2 linked regions of the Callithrix jacchus genome follow. The protein of the gene in region 1 interacts with the protein of each later gene in a pairwise test. Links are inferred from orthologs where the notes say so. Each region holds a gene or a part of one and is shown on either strand. Other genes may lie near its edges.

Region 1 (4,383 bases):
TTTCCTCCTTCCAAATGTCTCCTGCCTCTGTTTCTTCCTTCAATTTGTCTTTCATGTTGCAGACATATTTTTCTAAAATGCAAATGTAATCATCATTGCTCACTTGAAACCCCATCATGGTTTCATATTGCACTTAGAATAATGTCCAAACTCCTACAAGAATCTATTGCTACCAACTTGTCTTTCCAACCTCATCTCTGTTACTCATACCCTTCCCCTTCCCCACCACACATATATCCCCTTAAACTAAACATGAATTACTTGCTATTCTTTCTTGATGAAGATTTGCTGAATGACTTAAGAGTCCCACTGGATTTTGCTTACCAGCTAAATGAGCCCCTCTCCTCCCCAGGCTCTCTATTCTTCAAGCTCAGTTTTTTGAAGTTTCTTTTCTCAGGGAAGCCTTCGTGGTCCTTCTCAGGCCTCAGCAGCTACTGCCAATGCCAGCTTCCTCCATTCGAACACAACTACAGAGCTCTTTGCACTTTTAATTTTTTTCGTCTTCCCTGCTAGAGTAGGCAGGAGTTAATAAAAAGACAACTGGAGGGGTGAGGGGCAGGAGCTGCCGGGGCCTGTGGCAGACCAAATCTATGGCAGGGTCTGCCACCCTGTCTGTGTGCCGGGGCAAGATAAGCCTAACTTTCCCCAAGCTCGACTTCCTCATCTCATCTGAAAATGAATAAAAATACCCACTTAAGAGCTGTTAAGAAAACTGAACCTGAAGTATGCAAAGTCCTGCTCCTGGCACTTAAATGTAAGCTACTCTTATTCTAGTTACACATAAAGTTACTTCCAAAACCTTACGAAATTCCCCGAGCACTGTCCATGGTACGTGGTTTCCCGGTTGCTTATTGGGTGGTCCTGAGAGCTTTCCCTTTTTTCTTCCTAAGGCGTGCCAAGTCCCCTCTCCTCTCCTTTGGGTGATGCTGACGCCTTCTTCCCAGACTGCACCTTTGCTGGGCCGGAGGATGCCCCGCAGCGGAGCGCCAGAGTGACCAGGCAACCTCCCTAGTCCCCACCCTCTAGCCCGGACTCCCCCCTCCGTCCTCGGGTTCCTCCTCACGTCCTCCTACTAGGGAAGTAGGCCGCAGCGCCCCGCACCGGTCTGACCCTGAGTGCCTGCTGGTCGCGGTAGGCCGAGGACAGGCAGTGATCCGCAAGTCCCCAACCCACGTGCTCCGAGCCTCCTCCGCAGGGCTCCGCCTTCCGGTTAGGCGCAACACGGACTACATTTCCCAGGGTGCACAGCGGCGGGGCCTAGACTCGGCGGGGGCCTAGGGCGGCGCGCCGCTCCACCGCCTGCTCGGGGGCGCGCGGGCTGGCGCGAGGACAGGGCCACGGACCCGGAATGAGTTTCCGCGCAGTTCCGCTGGGTCGTGCCGGGCTGTGCCGGGCCGTGCCGAGCCAGGACAGGCGGGAGTGGGGGACTGAGTTGGCGGTGCCGGGGACAGGCGCTCGGGCAGCCCGCGCCTTGACGAGGTCCCTGCCCCGTCCCGGCCGGACTGGCTTGTCTGTCAGTCACTGGGGCGGAGGCAGCGGCGGTAGCTGGGCTGGCGCCGGGCGGTGAGCACAGCGCGGGCCAGGCCGAACGGAAAGACCTGCCACAGCCCCTCAACTCCACGGACTCTTCGCCCCAGACTCGCGAAGCTGTACCTCCGCGCTTCGTTGGACGCCTCCGTAACCACGAAGGGCTCTCTCCCCGGTGACCCTCCAGCCCCGTGACCTTTTCATAGCACCCGAGAGCTCACCCAGGCGGTGGTGTTGTGGGTTCAGGCCATCGACCCTGTGACCCCTCAAGATCCAGGGGCTCGGTTTCCCCCGCAGGCTTCCCTCCCCTCTGACTCCCTCCACACAGATTGTGGGGACAGAGCTGTGACCTACCACAAGGATCCCCGCCTGGGAGCTCCTCACTGACGGCCCCCTCCTCGGAGTCCCCCTCAGTGGGTCTCTCAAGAGCACCCCTTTTGGTCTCTGGCAAGCCCCTCACCCCCAGACGAGGTGGGGAGGCCTCGGCAGCCATGCCCGCCCTGGGGCCCCCCTCACCCCACCACTCCCTGGACATCCAAGCCGGGGTCTAGCAGGGGGCCAGCAGCCAAGGGGCTGGGGCAGGAGGCAGATCAGGGCCCACCTCCCTGCCAGGGAGGGAGCAAAGATGGAGCGGCGGGAGGAGCAGTCGGGGGCTGCAGGGGCTGGAGCAGCATCAGCCTTGGACTTCACTGTGGAGAACGTGGAGAAGGTATGAGGGCTCTGGGGTGGGCACTCCAGTGACAGAGCAGAAGTTCTGGGGACTGTCACTAATGCCAGCGCTCAGGCCTGGGCTGGCTGCCCGCTGGTATGGTGCCCCCAGAGCACCTGGCATTTGCTGTCTTTCTGGGCAGGCAGTATTGCAGTCCCCTAATGGGCTATTTTTGTCTTTCCTTACAGGCAGGTCCCCTGTGGACAGATACTCCAGGGTCTTGGGATGGTCCCTTCAGGGAGCTTATGACTTAGCCTTCCAGCCAGACTGGCTATTTTCCAGCTCCATGGGAACTGCATGAGCAGTGCAGTAGGAAACTGGGAACCCAGGAGACCTGCAGCTCAGTCTTCTGGAATTATACTGATGCCAAACCATCCTGGACCTGGTTTTATTGAGCCAAGGGCTCAGGAAATAATCTGGAACTAAAACAATCTGGGTTGTTTCTACTCTTTGGAGAAGGGTCCTTCCTTTATTGGATGGAAGCCAGACCAGTCCTGAGCAGGCAGGTGTGGGGCTGTCTCCTTTTGTTTTGTGCTGAGTCCAAGGGTCCTGGCCCTGTAAGGCTGGCAGCCTTACAGGGCTCTTCCCTACTCACCTGCCCACACAGCTCCCTGCCATGGCCCTCCCAAGCTCCCCCACTGCCCAGCCCATCTTTCTGAACTACCTTTTTGGTTCTTTTCTGTATCTGCTCCCTATAACCTGGAATGCAGGATTGCATGCACCCTGGGATGAATGGGAAGATGGGGCTCCCTTACTTGAAAGCAGGGCATGATTGCAGATGCTCACTTATTATTCTTGACTCCTGTTTGCCATAACAGACAATGAGGATGCATCTCTTCTGCCTGCTTTGGCATCCCTGAGGGGCCAAACAAGGGACAGTGGCCATAACTGACCGGCAGGGGTACAAATAGAGCTAAGCCTACTTGGATGGAGCCTGCTTAGGGGTCAGGGTCCTGGCCACACTCTCCCACCTCTTGGAGCAGGGCAGTGTTGGCATGGTGACGCGCTATTCCAGGTGCTACCGGGAGATAAATCTGTTTTCTTACTTCATGAAGTCCCATTGGAATTGAGGCCCTGGGGACTGTGCTAGTGGAAAGCATTAGGCCAGGTGTTTGCCAGGGCTGTAGCTATAGCCAAGGCTTCTCTGGATCAGTTGATTGGACCTTCACATGTGCCCTCTGAGGAGTGTTCTCACCGCCCCCACCCCACCCCACTCCAGCATGTCTCTGCCCCAGGGCTACTTGGCAAAAGTCTTAGTCCTGCTCTGATTTCACACTGGCTTTGATGCCAGCATCTGGAGTGACCTAGGGATGATCCTGGGGGAGCTGAAAGGAGCTGTTGGAGTTGATGGGAGCAGCTGTGCCTGGGAAGGTCAAGTCCCCTCAAGCTGTTCCATGCCCTTCTCAGGTCTAGCTTCATCCCTATGAAGCTGTTCTTTCCACCTAGGCCTTGGCCTCAAGTGCTTCCCCTTTGAGGGGATCAGCCTCCTCTTTTTTTTGCTTTCCTGTGGAGATTCTCTCTGAACCCATAATGTTTTGCTGTAAGGAGAAGAGGATATGGTAGAGCATGGGCAAGTTTCAGGCTCTCAAGATATCAGCAGGACCCAGGCCCAGGAAACAATGCAAGAGCCCTGAGCTCTCCCTGCTCAGCTCCCCAGTCAGGGAGAGGGAGCAGTCTTGCAGGACCAAGTCACGCCTCTGTTCTGGGCTCTGGCAGGATCCAGAGTGGCCAGCACCTGTTCAGTCCTGTGCTGTCCTGCAGGCGCTGCACCAGCTCTACTATGACCCCAACATTGAAAACAAGAACCTGGCTCAGAAGTGGCTGATGCAGGCCCAGGTCTCCCCACAGGCCTGGCACTTCAGCTGGCAGCTACTGCAGCCCGACAAGGTGCCAGAGATCCAGTACTTTGGGGCCAGTGCTCTTCACATCAAGATCTCTCGCTACTGGAGCGACATCCCAACTGACCAGTATGAAAGCCTAAAGGCACAGCTCTTTACCCAGATCACCCGCTTTGCCAGTGGCTCCAAGATTGTACTGACTCGGCTCTGCGTGGCACTAGCCTCACTAGCTCTCAGCATGATGCCTGACGCTTGGCCATGTGCTGTAGCAGATATGGTACGACTCTTCCAGGCTGAGGACTCACCAGT
Region 2 (3,808 bases), on another chromosome or scaffold:
TGTCCGTTTTCCAAAACCAATAACACTCCGGCCTTTCTAGTTGGCCCAAAGGAGCTATTTCCAGTCTTCCTTCTTCACCAAACCCGAAAATAAAGTGAGAGTGGGGGTGGTCGCTTCATTTTTTTCCCTTGAAAAACGCTTTGAATAGTCCCCCGGAAACTTAGGGCAGTAAATTAGCACAGATGCCTGTACCCGCACGCGTGAGTGGAGCGCGTCCTCTCCACTGAGTAGCCCTACCTCTCCGACCCCCACCTTTCTGATGGAGTGCAAAGACCCAGAGCCCAGCTGAGGCTCAGTTACTAATATTTTCTGTCCCTCATCTTCCATTTCCTCTCTCTCCCACTCTTGTACGGCCCTCCTGCCTCTTTTTCCTCTCAGCATTCTTTTCTGTCCTTTTTTCTTAGACCGTTCTGGCCTCTTCTGTTTTTTGAGCCCTCTTTTTTCCCTCCCTTGCCCTCCGCCCCTTCCCTCAACCCAGGCCCCCAATCCTTCCCCCTTGCCTCCACCCCCACCATTGGTTTCCATCCTGTCTCCCATCTCTCCAAAGTAGGAACCCCACCCTGGTCCCCATCCACCCTCCCTGCCTTCCCCCACGCCGGGCCCTGGCCCCCCATCCACCCTCCATGCCCCCAGCCAAGCGCCCTAAATAGCACGGAGGCGCCTGCTCTTCGGACAGTGATTAATGATAGCAGAGCAGAGGGGTTAACACACTTCACTGAAAAGTCTGTTGACTGGGCTCCTTGTAACACAATGTGGCCCGCTGCACGCCTCAAGAGAATCCTTTTGTTGTCCGAGCTCATTGTAGCCTCAAAATTCTGCCCACGAAAGTTTGCCAACGCTCCTGCCCCAGGAGTTTAATAGTTTCCCTTACTCGCAGGGCATTGTGCAGCGCTGAAAAGCAGCCCCTCGCTATTCAAGTGTTGGTGGTCATCTCAATAGATCTCCAAGGGCCCATATGGTGGCCAGTGCTGATGAATCTGCCTGTTTAAATGGGGGAGAAAGTTGGGGTTTTAAAACATTTCAAAGTTCCTGAAAAGGTCCCACTAGATCCTGTCACAATTCCCTGAACTCTTTGAAGGCTCAGCCTATTGTCTCCTGGTTATAAATAATATTCCTGGCCAAGTCGATTCCCACCAAGGCGCTCCTAGGGGCCCCTCCACCCCACCTCTTGCCAAGTTTTGAGGATGGGGGATAGTCCATGTTGGTATCACTTGGGGGCCTCAGGACCCCAGACCCACGACCCAGCACATAGTGGCCCTGGAGGCCCAGTCAGAGTTCAGGCAATCTTGATTCCCTTCACACAGGCTGTGGCCTTACAGGCAAGGTGCAAGGCAGCTAGCCCAAGTGCACATCTTGCCCTCCAGGCAGCAAGGGAAAACAATAAAACTTTCCCCGGTATAATGATAGAAATTACATTAAAAGTGGTGGAAATGCCCTAATTAAAAATGTACCACTTAAATGATATGCCAAAGATTCAGCTGCAGCATAGAATATTTAGTTAGTGAACTCTCTACCATTTCTTTTTTTAAATTACACGTTAAAAATTTAAAAGAAATCTTACTTTTCTCTGGTGCAATACATTACAAAGAATGGACAGTCCTTTTATCTAAATATAAAATTCCATTTTCAGCAATTATAGCCTGTTCTTGGTGATGATATAATTACAGCTGTGCTCGTAATAGGTGTCAAGGCGAAGCGCACTCATACAATAGTTGAATAAAACTGCAGAACAATGCGAGCACTTCTAAATTCACAACCTTTAAAATGAAATTGACTGTGCAGAATTCAAATAAAAACTAGATAAATATTTTTTTAAAAAGATTACAAGCTTGGTTTGGTTTCTTAATAGCATTTTCTACAAACCTATCAACATCTAATTGATTAGATGGGAATTACTGATTATAGATCAACTGAAATCCTGAATATCACTCTTCCGTTTTCCCAGCAGCCATAGGCAAAGACATTCTGTAGGGAACGGAGTGAGGCATTTGGGGACTCAGGGTTACTTACAAAAGATCATTTTAATTGGAAACTTCAGTGCTTATTTTTTCATTCAAGAAATGCTACTTAATGTGAGTATTATAAAGTCTCATCTTGATAAAAACAAAGAAAATGGTGGTCAGGTAATTAACATCACAAATGTCTTTTATTTAAAGAAGGCTGACAGTTACCTTGGGAATGTTTTGGTGAGGCTGTCGGAATATAATGCTCTTGGAGTTTAAGACTACATCAGGCCCCTTTTGGAGGCTCCAAGTTATTCCAAATTTCTCTTACCGTCCTATTCTTTTTGTTCCAGATGGCTGCCAGCAACAGGAAGGAGGGGGAGAGAACACCAACTCCATCAGTTCCAACGGAGAAGATTCAGATGAGGCTCAAATGCGACTTCAGCTGAAGCGGAAGCTGCAAAGAAATAGAACATCCTTTACCCAAGAGCAAATTGAGGCCCTGGAGAAAGGTGATGGAGTTTTTGAAAGTAGAGAAGCAGTAAATCAAAGTAAATGCCACATCTTCAGTACAAAGAGCTAAATTTAGCCAGGGCCCTTTGCATAGAGGACTGAAAAGGTTTCTTTTTTCTGTCTTTTTTTTTTCCTCTGGGCATCTCTTCTGTGGGTGTGTGTGTGTGTGTCTCTCTCTGTGTGTGTGTGTGTGTGTGTGTGTGTGTGTATGTGTGTGTGTATGTGGTTCTTTTCATGTACCAGTAATTCAAAGACCAGGCATCTGACTTATAAGAGAAACATGATGATTTGGCTATTTCAGGCCACAGAAAGGTCATTGAATGTCATTCCAAAGAAAATTTCACTTGGTACAGTCAACACTAGAAGCATTTTAAAGGGAATTGGTTGGAGGTGATGGGAGTGGGGAGGGGGAACCAGCTTGATCCAGTTTGGTCAACATATTTTGTGTAGTTCTGGCACAATGTGGAAAATCAACTTCTTTTTCAGAGTTTGAGAGAACCCATTATCCAGATGTGTTTGCCCGAGAAAGACTAGCGGCCAAAATAGATCTACCTGAAGCGAGAATACAGGTACCAAGGGACAGTGCAATTTCACACTTTGTGATTCATACCATTTGCCTTTCCTAGAGACAGAGGTGCTGGTACAGAGCACTGTTTATTTATAGGAATAATAACAGATTCAGTCTGCTAGATACTCTGCTGCCATGGGTGTGAGGAGGGCAGCAGCGGAGGTGTCAAGGTGGGGCTGGGCTTGACATAGGCACAGTGCTAACCTGTCCTATCTGATTTCCAGGTATGGTTTTCTAATCGAAGGGCCAAATGGAGAAGAGAAGAAAAACTGAGGAATCAGAGAAGACAGGCCAGCAACACACCTAGTCATATCCCTATCAGCAGTAGTTTCAGCACCAGTGTCTACCAACCAATCCCACAACCCACCACACCGGGTAATTCGAAATACGAATATATCAAATACCAATATAATCAGTGTGTTAAACCTGTGTCCGGGCTCCGACTCTCACCCTGACTGCTGTCGTTTCTCCTGTCCTCAGTTTCCTCCTTCACATCTGGCTCCATGTTGGGCCGAACAGACACAGCCCTCACAAATACCTACAGCGCTCTGCCACCCATGCCCAGCTTCACCATGGCAAATAACCTGCCTATGCAAGTAAGTGTGGCTGGAGGTGGTATGCGTAACCCGGCCCCAGAGAAGTGAGGAGTGGGGTCAGGGCCTTCGGACCTCGTTGGCTGCGTGTGCGGCCTTGGGAGGTTTTCATACTACAGTGATTGGCTTGACCAGTCTTTGGAGACATCAATCCAATCTCTTTTAAGTGATTGACTCATTGATTCATGCCT

What was found.
Region 2: the proteins of IPO13 (region 1) and PAX6 interact in a two-hybrid assay, tested with the Homo sapiens proteins (2 studies listed by BioGRID and IntAct). The link is inferred for Callithrix jacchus from reciprocal best matches to the Homo sapiens genes IPO13 and PAX6.

The regions. Positions count from the first base shown.
Region 1 is NC_133508.1:80,614,211-80,618,593, forward strand, and holds the start of IPO13 (importin-13), read left to right. Parts: upstream 1-1,360; 5' UTR 1,361-2,152; coding exon of another isoform or gene 2,153-2,236; intron 2,237-2,424; exon of another isoform or gene 2,425-3,781; 5' UTR 3,782-3,802; coding exon 3,803-4,383. UniProt on the Homo sapiens protein: Functions in nuclear protein import as nuclear transport receptor. Serves as receptor for nuclear localization signals (NLS) in cargo substrates.
Region 2 is NC_133511.1:97,170,729-97,174,536, reverse strand, and holds part of PAX6 (paired box protein Pax-6), read left to right. Parts: intron 1-2,296; coding exon 2,297-2,455; intron 2,456-2,942; coding exon 2,943-3,025; intron 3,026-3,248; coding exon 3,249-3,399; intron 3,400-3,504; coding exon 3,505-3,620; intron 3,621-3,808. UniProt on the Homo sapiens protein: Transcription factor with important functions in the development of the eye, nose, central nervous system and pancreas. Required for the differentiation of pancreatic islet alpha cells.